Macaca fascicularis: one gene and its partner. The protein of the gene in region 1 interacts with the protein of each later gene in a biochemical or structural test. Links are inferred from orthologs where the notes say so. Each region holds a gene or a part of one and is shown in the gene's direction. Other genes may lie near its edges.

Region 1 (5,944 bases):
GCTGGGAACGAAACACAGTAGCTTTGCAAATATAAAGTGGAAGCACAACCTAGCACTGGCATTGGAGGTCCTCAAAACAGTCCCCAGGTTTGGTGATTCAACAGGAGGACTCATAGGACTTAGTATATAATCTTATTCACAGCTATGATTTGTTACGGCAAAGAATCAAAGCAAAATCAGCTAAGGGGAAAGGTGCTTTGGTCCAAAGGGAACTAAGCGCAAGCTTCCCAGAGTTATCTCCTAGTGGAATCACACAGGACGTGCTTAATTCCTTCAACATATATGAAAGGTTTTCTGCCAGAGAAGCTCATTTGCGGACTCAGTGCCCCAGGTACTGATTAGGCACCCACTGCCTGACATACGACAAAATTCCAGATTCTCAGAGGGAAAGCGGGTGTTGAACATAAACCATATAGTATTTGTTTATATAGAGAATCAGCAGGGAATGGTGGGAACCACCCCCAAATCCACATCTTTTTGTTGTTGTTGAGATGGAGTCTCACTCTGTCACCCAGGCTGCAGTGCAGTGGCAAGATCTCGGCTCACTGCAACCTCTGCCTCCTGGGTTCAAGCAATTTTCTTGCCTCAGCCTCCTAAGTAGCTGGGATTACGGGCATGCACCACCACACCCAGCTAATTTTAGTATTTTTAGTAGAGATGGGGTTTCACCTTGTTGGCCAGGCTGGTCTCGAACTCCTGACCTCAGGTGATCGCCTTCCTCGGCCTTCCAAAGTTCTGGGATTACAAGCGTGAGCCACTGCACCTGGCCATCACATCTTTTAAAATTGTTTTTATACCCCTGTCTAATCTTCTACTCACTCAGTGTCTGTTAGCCAACAATTGAATCAAGATTCCATTTTGCTACCTAGAAAATCAGAGGCTCTCTAGTTACAAAAACAATTGATAACTCAGATATCAAGCCATTTTTAAACAAGTATCATGGGAATTAAAATTTAAAATTAGGCATGTGTGGTAAGAAGGGTGAGGCCACATTCATCTTTAAAATATCAGGAGGTCTTAGTCATTTCCTTTCTTCTATGGTTTTCTGAAAATTTGCATGTAAACTGAAATTAGATTGTTGAATCATTTTAAATATCTAAAAGATACATAGAGGGTTCCTTTGTTTTAACAAAAAAATACCAAAGGAGAAAATACACTCATAACATGAATTAAAATATAGTTTTTATTTTCTTCTTTAATGTTTATTAATGTTTCATCATAAAGTAGAACTTTCCTTTTCTGTTCTGCTTTCTGTATTCTCTACACATATGTGAAGAGACTGAGACACAAGACTGAAGAAATCTAGCCTCTGAAAAACCCATAGTTGGCGTTTATTTGCTCTAAAACAATTTAGTTATTTTTGTTTGTTAGATTCAAGGATTTAAGAGACCCTTTATATCATCCAAAGTCTTAAACCAGTTTGTTCCCAGTTTGCATGTGGATGACAGTTCATCAAAACTGGTCAACTAGGACTGAGACTAAGATTCAGGAAGTTAGTCTAGACTGGAAATAGTAATTCAAGGGTCGAAGAACTCAGAGCTGGCAGAGATCACAACAGAGGCTAAGAGTTTGTAGTATTCAAAGAGAAGCCAGAAAGTTAGGACCAAAGCCAAGGACAGTAGCACTTAGCTTAAAGTCTGCAAAGCGGAGAATCATGATGAGTAGAATCATGACGATGGGGAGATGTTAGATAGAATAATTTACAAATATTGGCATTTACAAAGCTCTTAGTTACCTCATGACTGTATCAGCTCTCTGAAGTGGGTGCTGTTATCTGCTTTATTCAAATACATTATTCAAATACATTAAGGGACTTGGTCCAAGCAATCACAGTAAGTAGCTGAGCGGAGACTGAAATCTCATAATTTAATTCTTCAGACTGAAAATCTCATCTTCTGAGATAGTAGTGTTTTTCAGACTGTTGATTCTGAGGATTCTGCAAAGGTAACCAAGGTGAGGGCTTGCGGATGGGGAGCCTCATCCCTCCTAGGCCACACTCCATCCCAGCTTCATTCCATCAGAGTTGCTCAGTTTTAAATATTATTATTATAGGCCAGGCACCATGGCTTACCCCTATGGTCCCACTACTCAGGAGGCTGAGGTTGGAGGATTGCTTGAGCCCGAGAGGTTGAGTTTATAGTAAGTTGTGTTTGTGCCACTGCATTTAAGCCTGGGCAACAGAGGGAGACCCTGTCTCAAATAAAAGGTGGGGGTTATACATATGACTCCTTTGAATGAATTGTGTAAAAAATCCATTGGATTAGGAGCAGTAGAATTCTAATTTCAGTATTGTCAATTATGTGACTGTAGGCAAGCTTGGTCCTATGAAATGGGAAAGTGAGTCTTAGATGACTTTCAGATTTATTTTTGCCATAGTCCAATCCATTAAAAAATTTTTTTCAAATTATTTTTAGAGATAGGGTCTTGCTATGTTGTCCAGGCTAGTCTCTTATCACATGGAAATAGTTCATTTAACATTGCATGCCAGCTCTTCAGTGATGTTTGTGTTTATATCCTTTAGGCAGAATGAGAATGTTTTGTTGTATGTTTTGTTCCAATAGCTGAAGTTGAGGCAGGGTGAAACACACAGTCAATACAGCCACACACTAGCCCAGCTTCCTGCCCTCCCAGGGCTCCCTTTCCCTTCTATCTCTGACTAAAAAATAAGCCCTCAAAAGGTTTTGAAAAAATAATCTTTTTCCTCCATATTTTAATATTTTAGGAACAAGTTCCAGTTCCAGTCTACCACCCAACACCTAGCCAGACTCGGCTAGCAACTCAGCTGACTGAAGAGGAACAAATTAGGATAGCTCAAAGAATAGGCCTTATACAACATCTGCCTAAAGGAGTTTATGACCCTGGAAGAGATGGATCAGAAAAAAAGATCCGGGAGTAAGTTTTAATTAATTTGTACATTTCAAAATTTTATTTTCAGGTTGCTTTTGAAAATTTTGCCTTTTCTCCTGCACTTTAGAAAGTCAGACATTTAATATGTTGAAACACTTTGCTTAATGCAAGAGAATGTTTAATTTTTTTTCATAGCTCTATTACTGGCTACTAGCAAGAGAATGTTATATAGTAATTACAAATTTTCACAGGCTGGGCACAGTGCCTCACACCTGTAATCCCAGCATGTTTGGAGGCTGAGGTGGGCAGATCACTTGAGACCAGGAGTTCAAGACCAACCTGGCCAACATGGTGAAACCTCATCTCTAATAAAAATACGAAAATTTGCCAGGCATGGTGGCACATGCCTGTAATCCCAGCTACTCGGGAGGCTGAGGTGGGAGAATCACTTGAAACTCTGTCTCAAAAAATAAAATTAAATTAAATTAATAAATAAAGAGAAAGTTAGTGAAGAGAGCTTTAACTTTCAGCAACCCAGTAAGTAGGCTGAAGTTAGTGTTTCTGTTTTACAGTTATTAAAATGAAAATTGTCTTAGTCCAGGATTACACTAAATAGTGCAAAAAAACAAAGTTGATCTAACTGATGCTTTTCTACCTAAAATAATCCCATTCTCCTTAAGGTATCTGCTATAGTATGTAGCTGTTTACAAGCACAGCAGTAAACTTGATCCATATGTAATCCATTTCTCTTTGCTCTGTTGATTGCTCCTAAGTCCTGCAAATTCTCGGGGGATTTAAATAAGAAATTGTGTATAGATCAACATTAGGAAAAAATTCAGTTTGCATGCTTTGGTGATAAGATGACAGGCAAAGCATTCTGATGTGTTACTCAGATTAACACTGTCTTTAATGGGATTTAAACAGTTTTCTGAATAGGACACTTCCGAAAATGCCTTCTGATTTCTCTCCATTGCTCCCAACAGGTGTGTGATCTGTATGATGGACTTTGTTTATGGGGACCCAATTCGATTTCTGCCGTGCATGCACATCTATCACCTGGACTGTATAGATGACTGGTTGATGAGATCCTTCACGTGCCCCTCCTGCATGGAGCCAGTTGATGCAGCACTGCTTTCATCCTATGAGACTAATTGAGCCAGGGTCTCTCATCTGACTTCAAGTGAACCACCATTTTGGTGGTTTTGATCTTTTGTCACTGAGCCCAAAGAGCCAGGGATTAGGAATTAAGATCATGCACAAAAGTTTCCTTAAAATTCCTGGATGGCTGCAGATGTTGGGGGAAAAGTACGTGATATTTTAGAAACTTAGTGGGAAAAGTAGGATGGTATTTTTATGTAAAGCCTTGACCCAATGTTTAAAAATATAATTGTATTTAGATCTTGTTATTGCTCCAGTACATAGGAATTGTGTAAAGTGTTACAGCAGCTGTATTTGTTTAAATTGTGTGTATTGAAGATTAGGAAAAAGATAGTAGTTATTTTTCCTAAATGAAATAACTTTCTTCTCTTCCCCTTCCCCACCCAAATTCTTTTCTGAAGTTGCTGACATTTGGGTCAAGGTTTTATTAAAAGCTACATTTTATAACACTGGCACACACAAAAAAGTAGTTTTAAGCTTGTTTGCACAGTTCTTTTTTTCCATTGGAAATGGAATTCATTGCCTTAGGTCTTTTTAAATAGTGTATTATTATCGTTGGGGCTGGCTCTATGCTTGAAAACCAGTTTATTTATAACCTGTTATAAGTGCTATATTCTGTTTGCAGTTAGGAAATGCAGAATTCAAAGTGATCTCCTAGCTTGTAAGCAAACTGAGATGCACTATCCCTTTTCTATAAAAAATAAGTTAATGTGTCAAGAAACCAACTCTATTAAAGTGGGGTTTAATATTGCCCTTTCCTATGTGTTTTATCTAATTATTTTGGTTGTTAATATGGTGATAATGGAAAGTCAAGTTAAATTTTAAATATTAAGAATTCTGATTTATTGAGATTGAATTATGCCACCACGTTTATGTAAAAATGAAGGTGGCACCTTGGTGAGACCTAATGAGAAATAATTACTCAGTTGTAACAATTTTGATTTATTTTCTTTCTTCTGACCTCCTTCCCTCTTGTCTTGAACCATAGCAAAAGGATACTGCATCTCTCATTACTGTAGTGCTGAGGTTATTGAAGTTATATAAAACACATCTCAGTCTCTGTTTCTTGGAAAGGTATCTATTACATCCTGCTAGCTGACTGACAAAACTAAGCAGGGAGAATAAAGATAATTGTATTTTATGTTTTGCACACAAACACAGAATTTGTATAACCATATGACTTCATAGTTGTGATCTCAAAAAAGAAGGAATTTCTCCTTTGTTTCTTGCAGTTAATGTAAGAATACTTTAAATCTCTAAGCTTCTGAAGTGTTAGAGGTAGAGATGGTCTAGTAAAGATGTAGTAGTAATGTTTTATCCATTTAGCATGTGTTTATTTTTTCATATGTACTCAAAGGTGACTTATTGGTTCACCTCAGTGATATTACATACAGCTAAAAAAAATCATTCATTAGCAAAAGGAAAAGTGGTCTCAACCTAACATCAGAAGTGTTTCTTATTATTATTTTATATTGGGTTGAATATTGAACTCTAACACTTTTCTACATACAAAACACTGTCATGAAGGTTATGCATAATTGCATTATAGAGGAATGTAGTATGTCATAAGTACTTTGTAAAGATTTGACATTCAACTGTAGTATCCATATGTTGCTTAAATTTCTTTATGAGCCCCATGATGGAAAGACTTAAAGATGAATTTGAGAAAAATTGAAGAAATTAGATGATCAGGTTCTGTTAAATTGTTACATGTATCTTGCTTAAATTTCTGTTTATTAATTTATATCCACCCAATTACATAAAGCAGATTTGGAGGAAACAACTGAGGTTGTGCAATATTTTCTGTGATAATTGCTTTTTTATTCTTGTGTTTTCTACTTAAACATGATGTCTGTCATCAAGTATTATAGTCAGACTTTCTTTTTTTCTAGATTGTTAAAATTGGTAAATGAACTTTTTTTAAAATCATCTTCCATGT
Region 2 (6,737 bases), about 970 kb from region 1:
ATGGAGAATTACTTCCAAGCAGAAGCTTACAACCTGGACAAGGTGTTGGATGAATTTGAACAAAACGAAGGTGAGAATTTACATTGGTGAATCTCTTTGCGTTTGTGGTATAGAGAATGTGGGGATATATTATTTAATAATATACAGGGGAAGGAATAACATTTTTTAGCACTAAATGCCAGATACTTACAATCCCCAGACCTTCTTATTGCCATTTTATAGATGAGAGTAGAGGCAAAGAGAGGTTAAGCAAGTTTCTCAAAGTTGTCTTGTGAGCAAGTGGCAGGATTAGAATCCAGGCAGTGTGACACTAGAGCCTGAGCTTTACCTACCCTATACAGTGAATGTATTGTCAAGAAATGCGCTTGCATTTCCTAAACTAAGAAAAATAGCTCGTTCCATATTGATTGCCCAGTAAAGATACATTTAAAACTATTTATATCACAACTGCCTAAATGGTTAATTATATATTCTCAAGCATCAGTAGAAATGTCCACTTAAGATTCACTTCTTTTGTTTGTTGGTTGGTTGGTTGGTTGGTTTGTTTTTTGAGAAAGTCTTGCTCTGTCTCCCAAGCTGGAGTGCAGTGCTCACTGGAACCTCTGCCTCCCTGGCTCAAGTGATTCCCATGCCTCAGCCTCCAGAGTAGCTGGGATTCCAGGCACCCACCACCATGCCTGGCTAATTTTTGTATTTTTAGTAGAGAAGGGGTTTTGCCATGTTGGCCAGGCTGGTCTTAAACTCCTGGTGTCAAGCAGTCCTCCCTCCTCAGCCTCCTATAGGCATGAGCCATCATGCCTGGCCAAGAGATTCACTTCTAATTTCCCTCTTGGTTTAACTTGAATGGGTAAGCTATAATTAAATTTCTTCCTCCTTACTGTATTTCCCCTGTGTTCTCTATTTCTAACAGGAAATGGCATTAACAAGTTTACAAAGTGATATATTTCCATCCAAAGTCCATGATTCCAGTCCAGGCAACATGATGAAACTCCATCTCTACAGAAAATACAAAGAAAATTAGCCAGGTGTGGTGGTGCACCTGTGGTCCCAGCTATTCGGGAGGCAAAGGAGGGAGAATCACTTGAGCCCTAGAGATAGAGGCCGCAGTGAGCTGTGATCATGCCACTGTATTCCGGCCCAGATGACAGAGTGAGACCCTGTCTCAAAAAATAATGTAGCCCATGATTTTCATATTGGTTTACAAACCTTTGCTATATTCAGTGATTCAGGCTATTCGTTGATAGCAGATGGGAAGACAGATTAGTTTTGATTTTGTTGCTTTAGATCTTTAATAGAGCCAGTCTTAAATTGAATATGGGATCATGACAGTAAGGAGGGAAGAGAGAGAGGAAGGCTACCAGAATGGCCTGCTCTTTTCATATTTTACCATTGATGACCTAACACTAACCTGTATTCCTAGACTCATTCCTGATTCATGTAAATGTGAAATCTAATCATTTGGGGTTTTATGTCATCCAGGTGGGCTTTGTACTTACCAAGCTGGAAAGTATATTATTTTCTGAGTTTCAACTGTTTGTATAAGTATTTTCTTAATCTTTTATTAGATTTAGCCCTCTGTGTATCACAGTTCTTTAAGTCATAAGTACCTAGATGTGTATTACACCTAATCATGTGAATACTGTGCTAGAATACCACTGACTCTAATCAAACTCTTGGTTCATTACATTTGTCTCTTTGTGACTTCTGTAGATTCTATTAGGGTGCTTTGTGTATAGTTGTATTTCAATACATTTTTGTTGAATCAGTAAAAATATTTTAGTTAGAAAATAGAGCAATTGCTTACAAAATAATAACTCCTTTAGAAGGAGAAGGATTTCTGAAACCAGCTTCTTCGTTGTAACTTTGTGGTTCATTTGTTTGAACTATTTTTTTGAATCTCACTACCAGTTGCATTAAAAACTACCACTTCAAGCCTTGTGGTATCTTAGAGAATATACTTTAAATAAAATGATTTTTCATTTTGTGTTAATTTATTTTCTTATTTAAATGAAAAAATATACCACAGACTGTGATGACACTAGGCAGTTAACATTATGCCCAGGTAGGAGGCAGTTGAATAATGAAAATTTTAATACCCGATCATTTCTGTTTGAACATTGCTAAATATTCTTGTAAGAAGCTGTAACTATTTTTTTGTTTCCAGGAACCATATTGGAAATATGACTTATTTGCTTTTTTTTCCTTTTCTTTTCTTTTAAGGAAGCCTGTGTTACTAAACTTCAAATGTCTGTAAAATCTGTACTGGTTCAAATTTGGTAAATTCAGGATTTGACATTTCAGAGGATACTAAGCCCATTCTTCACACAATCTGAGTTTTATGCCCTTTTAAACAACAACAACTACTTCTTTACACTAATTCTTTTCTCAACCCAAACTGATTTACTTATTGCTTCCTTAAATTCTTGTATTTGGGGATATGCTTTTCCTTATTCCTCTATTTATTAATGCTTTCTTTTCCAAACTTACATAAAACTGTCTTTGAAGCGTAGACCAGTTCTTCCTGCCTCCATGAATTCAAGCTCACTTGCCTCATCCTGGAAAATATCTTTCTCCTCTGAATTTATTTTCTACTCCTACATAATAGTTTTCAGATACACTGAGTCCTCACTTGATGTCTTTGATAAGTTCCTGGAAACTGTGACTTTAAGCAAATTGATGTACTGTATGCTGGAGAACCTTAACTGTTATTTATATCAATTAGCTTATAGTAAAATTGGCTTCTTTATACAGTGAGTTGTTTTGCTTATAATTGCAGTTTCCAAGAACCTATCAACAATGTTAAGTGAGGACTTACTGTACCTATGCTACTCCATACTGCTAATTAGATGTTTGTATGTATCTCTTATTCTCCCAATGAGATTGTATCCTTCTTAGAGGCAAGAGCTATCGTTTAATCTTCATGTTCCTCAATCCTGATGATTTTACTATGGTAGATATTCACTTACATATTTATTGTATATCTACTACCTATCAGGCACTATGCAAAGTGAGGACTTATATTGACAGAAATGATTTCTGCCTTCAGAAATCATTCAGTAGTTGAAAGAGAAGGGTAAATAAACTATTGCATTTCAGTGTAGTAAATGCCTTAATAAAGTTTTGATTAAGGTGCTATGGAAACATTGAAGATTAATGTTACAGATGAGGATTGAGGTTACAAATATATCTGCATAATTTCAGGGCCACGATTATCAGAGATACTGGAGGAAGAAAGCAGGAAAAGCACTGAATGCATTGTTCCTTATTTCTCTGGTTTACTTAGACATATGCAATAGCCCTGTAACTTGAGAGAATAACTTAGCCATTGTAGTTATGATCTGTTAAAAACTAAACAGAAACATTATATGAAATTATGCTTACTGGTAGACTATAAGAAGGTTGATTTCATATGATAAATGAACACTTTTTGCCCAGTGTCCTTAGATAATAATATAAATATGAACCTGATTAATATTTTGTATTGTGACAAATACAATACAGTATTTTGTATTGTGACAAATACAATATCTGCTTGTGACATGGTTACAAGCAGAATTTCACATACCGTGGCAAACGTTCTTTTAACATGTGTTGGGCAAATTTAAAATATTTTTAAGTAAAAAGTGTAATAAACCCCAGTGTACCCATCATCCAGCTTTCACAGCATTTCATATGCTGCCATTTTGTTTCATTTATACCTTTATCACCTTCTCACTTCCTGCTTCACTCTTATTTTTTTACAGCTTTTTAAAAGGTAAACTTTATATATATTAGAATGCATAGATCTTAACTGTCCAGTTTTGACAAATGGGTATATCACTCAAACCCACATCCCAATTATGATATAGATTGTAGAACATTCAGTCTCTACAGAAAATTTCATTTTCCCTCCTACTTAATTACTTATCCTAGCCACTGTTCTAATATTTTTTCCATCTAATCCATTAGATTAGCACCTGTCCTGGCTTTGCTCAATCCAAGGGTGCTTTCCCCTCTTCTGGGTCCCGTTCACCTGTGGGTCAGTTTAATTATGTTATTAGATTGAGGTAGAATTCTCTTGTTGTTTGGAATAGTCTGAGATATTACCATTTGGTGACATATAATTGCAGAGAATTGTCTGAAATATGTTTTCTTATTTTTAGCCCCGAATTAGAAATCTAATATCCTTGGAATATTTAATTTTCAAAGGATAGTTAGAAATGTTGATTAACTTAGTCATAAGCTTTTCTAGTGTTACAAGCAAACTTATTGTAATTACTTATTTTTTTTTCCAGATGAAACAGTTTCTTCTACTTTATTGGATACAAAGTGGAATAAGATTCTAGATCCCTCTTCTCACCGGCTGTCATTTAACCCTACTTTGGCCAGTGTGAATGAATCTGCAGTTTCTAATGAGTCACAACCACAACTGAAAGTCTTCTCCCTGGCTCATTCAGCTCCCCTGACCACAGAGGAAGAGGATCATTGTGCTAATGGACAAGACTGTAATCTAAATCCAGAGATTGCCACAATGTGGATTGATGAAAATGCTGTTGCAGAAGATCAGTTAATTAAGAGAAACTATAGTCGTGATGATCAATGCAGTGCTGTTGAAGTGGGAGAGAAGAAATGTGGAAACCTGACTTGTCTGCCAGATGAGAAGAATGTTCTTGTTGTAGCCGTCATGCATAACTGTGACAAAAGGACATTACAAAACGATTTACAGGATTGTAATAATTATAATAGTCAATCCCTTATGGATGCTTTTAGCTGTTCACTGGATAATGAAAACAGACAAACTGATCAATTTAGTTTTAGTATAAATGAGTCCACTGAAAAAGATATGAACTCAGAGAAACAATTGGATCCGTTGAATAGACCGAAAATAGAGGGGAATTCTGTTAACCATCTGTGTACTACTTCATCTGATAGTCTAGCCAGTGTCTGTTCCCCTTCACAATTAAAGGATGATGGAAGTATAGGTAGAGACCCCTCCATATCTGCGATTACAAATTTAACGGTTGATTCAGTAATCTCATCCCATGGAACAGATGGAGGTCCTGCTATTAGAAAGCAAGAGAACTATATACCAGATGAGGACCTCACTGGCAAAATCAGCTCTCCTAGGACAGATCTAGGGAGTCCAAATTCCTTTTCTCACATGAGTGAGGGGATTTTGACGAAGAAAGAGCCAGCAGAGGAGAGCACAACTGAAGAATCCCTCCGGTCTGGTTTACCTTTGCTTCTCAAACCAGACGTGCCTAATGGGTCTGGAAGGAATAATGACTGTGAACGGTTTTCAGATTGCATTGTGCCTAGTGAAGTTAGGGCTGATGAAAATGAAGGTTATGAACATGAAGAAATTCTTGGCACTACAGAATTCCTTAATATGACAGGGCATTTCTCTGAATCTCAGGACATGACTAATTGGAAGTTGACTAAACTAAATGAGATGAATGATAGCCAAGTAAACGAAGAAAAGGAAAAGTTTCTACAGATTAGTCAGCCTGAGGACACTAATGGTGATAGTGGAGGACAGTGTGTTGGATTGGCAGATGCAGGTCTAGATTTAAAAGGAACTTGCATCAGTGAAAGTGAAGAATGTGATTTCTCCACTGTTATAGATACACCAGCAGCAAATTCTCTATATAATGGTTGTGATTCCTATGGAATGCAGGGCCCAGGTGTTTCTTTTGTTCCAAAGACTTTACCCTCCAAAGAAGATTCAGTAACAGAAGAAAAAGAAATAGAGGAAAGCAAGTCAGAATGCTACTCAAATATTTATGAACAGAGAGGAAATGAGGCCACAGAAGGGAGCGGACTACTTTTAAATAGCACTGGTGACCTAATGAAGAAAAATTATTTACGTAATTTCTGTAGTCAAGTTCCATCAGTGCTTGGGCAGTCTTCCCCCAAGGTAGTAGCAAGCCTGCCATCTATCAGTGTTCCTTTTGGTGGTGCAAGACCCAAGCAACCTTCTAATCTTAAACTTCAAATTCCAAAGCCATTATCAGACCATTTACAAAATGACCTTCCTGCAAACAGTGGAAATAATACTAAAAATAAAAATGATATTCTTGGGAAAGCAAAATTAGGGGAAAACTCAGCAACCAATGTATGCGGTGCATCTTTGGGAAACATCTCTAATGTTGATACAAATGGGGAACATTTAGAAAGTTATGAGGCTGAGATCTCCAGTAGACCATGCCTTGCGTTAGCTCCAGATAGCCCAGATAATGATCTCAGAGCTGGTCAGTTTGGAATTTCTGCCAGAAAGCCATTCACCACTCTGGGTGAGGTGGCTCCAGTGTGGGTACCGGATTCTCAGGCTCCAAATTGCATGAAATGTGAAGCCAGGTTTACATTCACCAAAAGGAGGCACCACTGCAGAGCATGTGGGAAGGTAAGTTGCATGCATAAGCTCAGAAATCTGGCATGCACATTTTGTAATGCTGAATTAGATAGTAATAAAGGCAATGTAAGGTGAATATATGTCTGGTTGAGTTGACATAAATAGCACTTTTGAAAACCCAGTTCTAGTAAATTTCTGTATAAAAAATGACCTCACTGATTCTTAGATAGTATATACACTTTTTTTTTGTTGCCATGATTTACGCTGAATCAGTTTTTATGAAGAGATGAGAATTGAGGAAGTGTAAACTTTGTGGTTTCTGTATTGATAGCTACTTGGTTAATGTAATAGTTTGAAATAAGGAAGTTATTCTTTCAGTTTAGGAAATATTTGTCATTAACTTTTA

Evidence for each region. The genes of interacting proteins can lie anywhere in the genome.
Region 2: the proteins of RNF11 (region 1) and ZFYVE9 form a complex in vitro, tested with the Homo sapiens proteins (2 studies listed by BioGRID). The link is inferred for Macaca fascicularis from reciprocal best matches to the Homo sapiens genes RNF11 and ZFYVE9.

What each region holds. Positions count from the first base shown.
Region 1 is NC_088375.1:183,466,868-183,472,811, reverse strand, and holds part of RNF11 (RING finger protein 11), read left to right. Parts: intron 1-2,722; coding exon 2,723-2,892; intron 2,893-3,830; coding exon 3,831-4,002; 3' UTR 4,003-5,944. UniProt on the Homo sapiens protein: Essential component of a ubiquitin-editing protein complex, comprising also TNFAIP3, ITCH and TAX1BP1, that ensures the transient nature of inflammatory signaling pathways. Promotes the association of TNFAIP3 to RIPK1 after TNF stimulation.
Region 2 is NC_088375.1:182,495,999-182,502,735, reverse strand, and holds part of ZFYVE9 (zinc finger FYVE domain-containing protein 9), read left to right. Parts: coding exon 1-70; intron 71-910; exon of another isoform or gene 911-1,025; intron 1,026-4,274; coding exon 4,275-6,382; intron 6,383-6,737. UniProt on the Homo sapiens protein: Early endosomal protein that functions to recruit SMAD2/SMAD3 to intracellular membranes and to the TGF-beta receptor.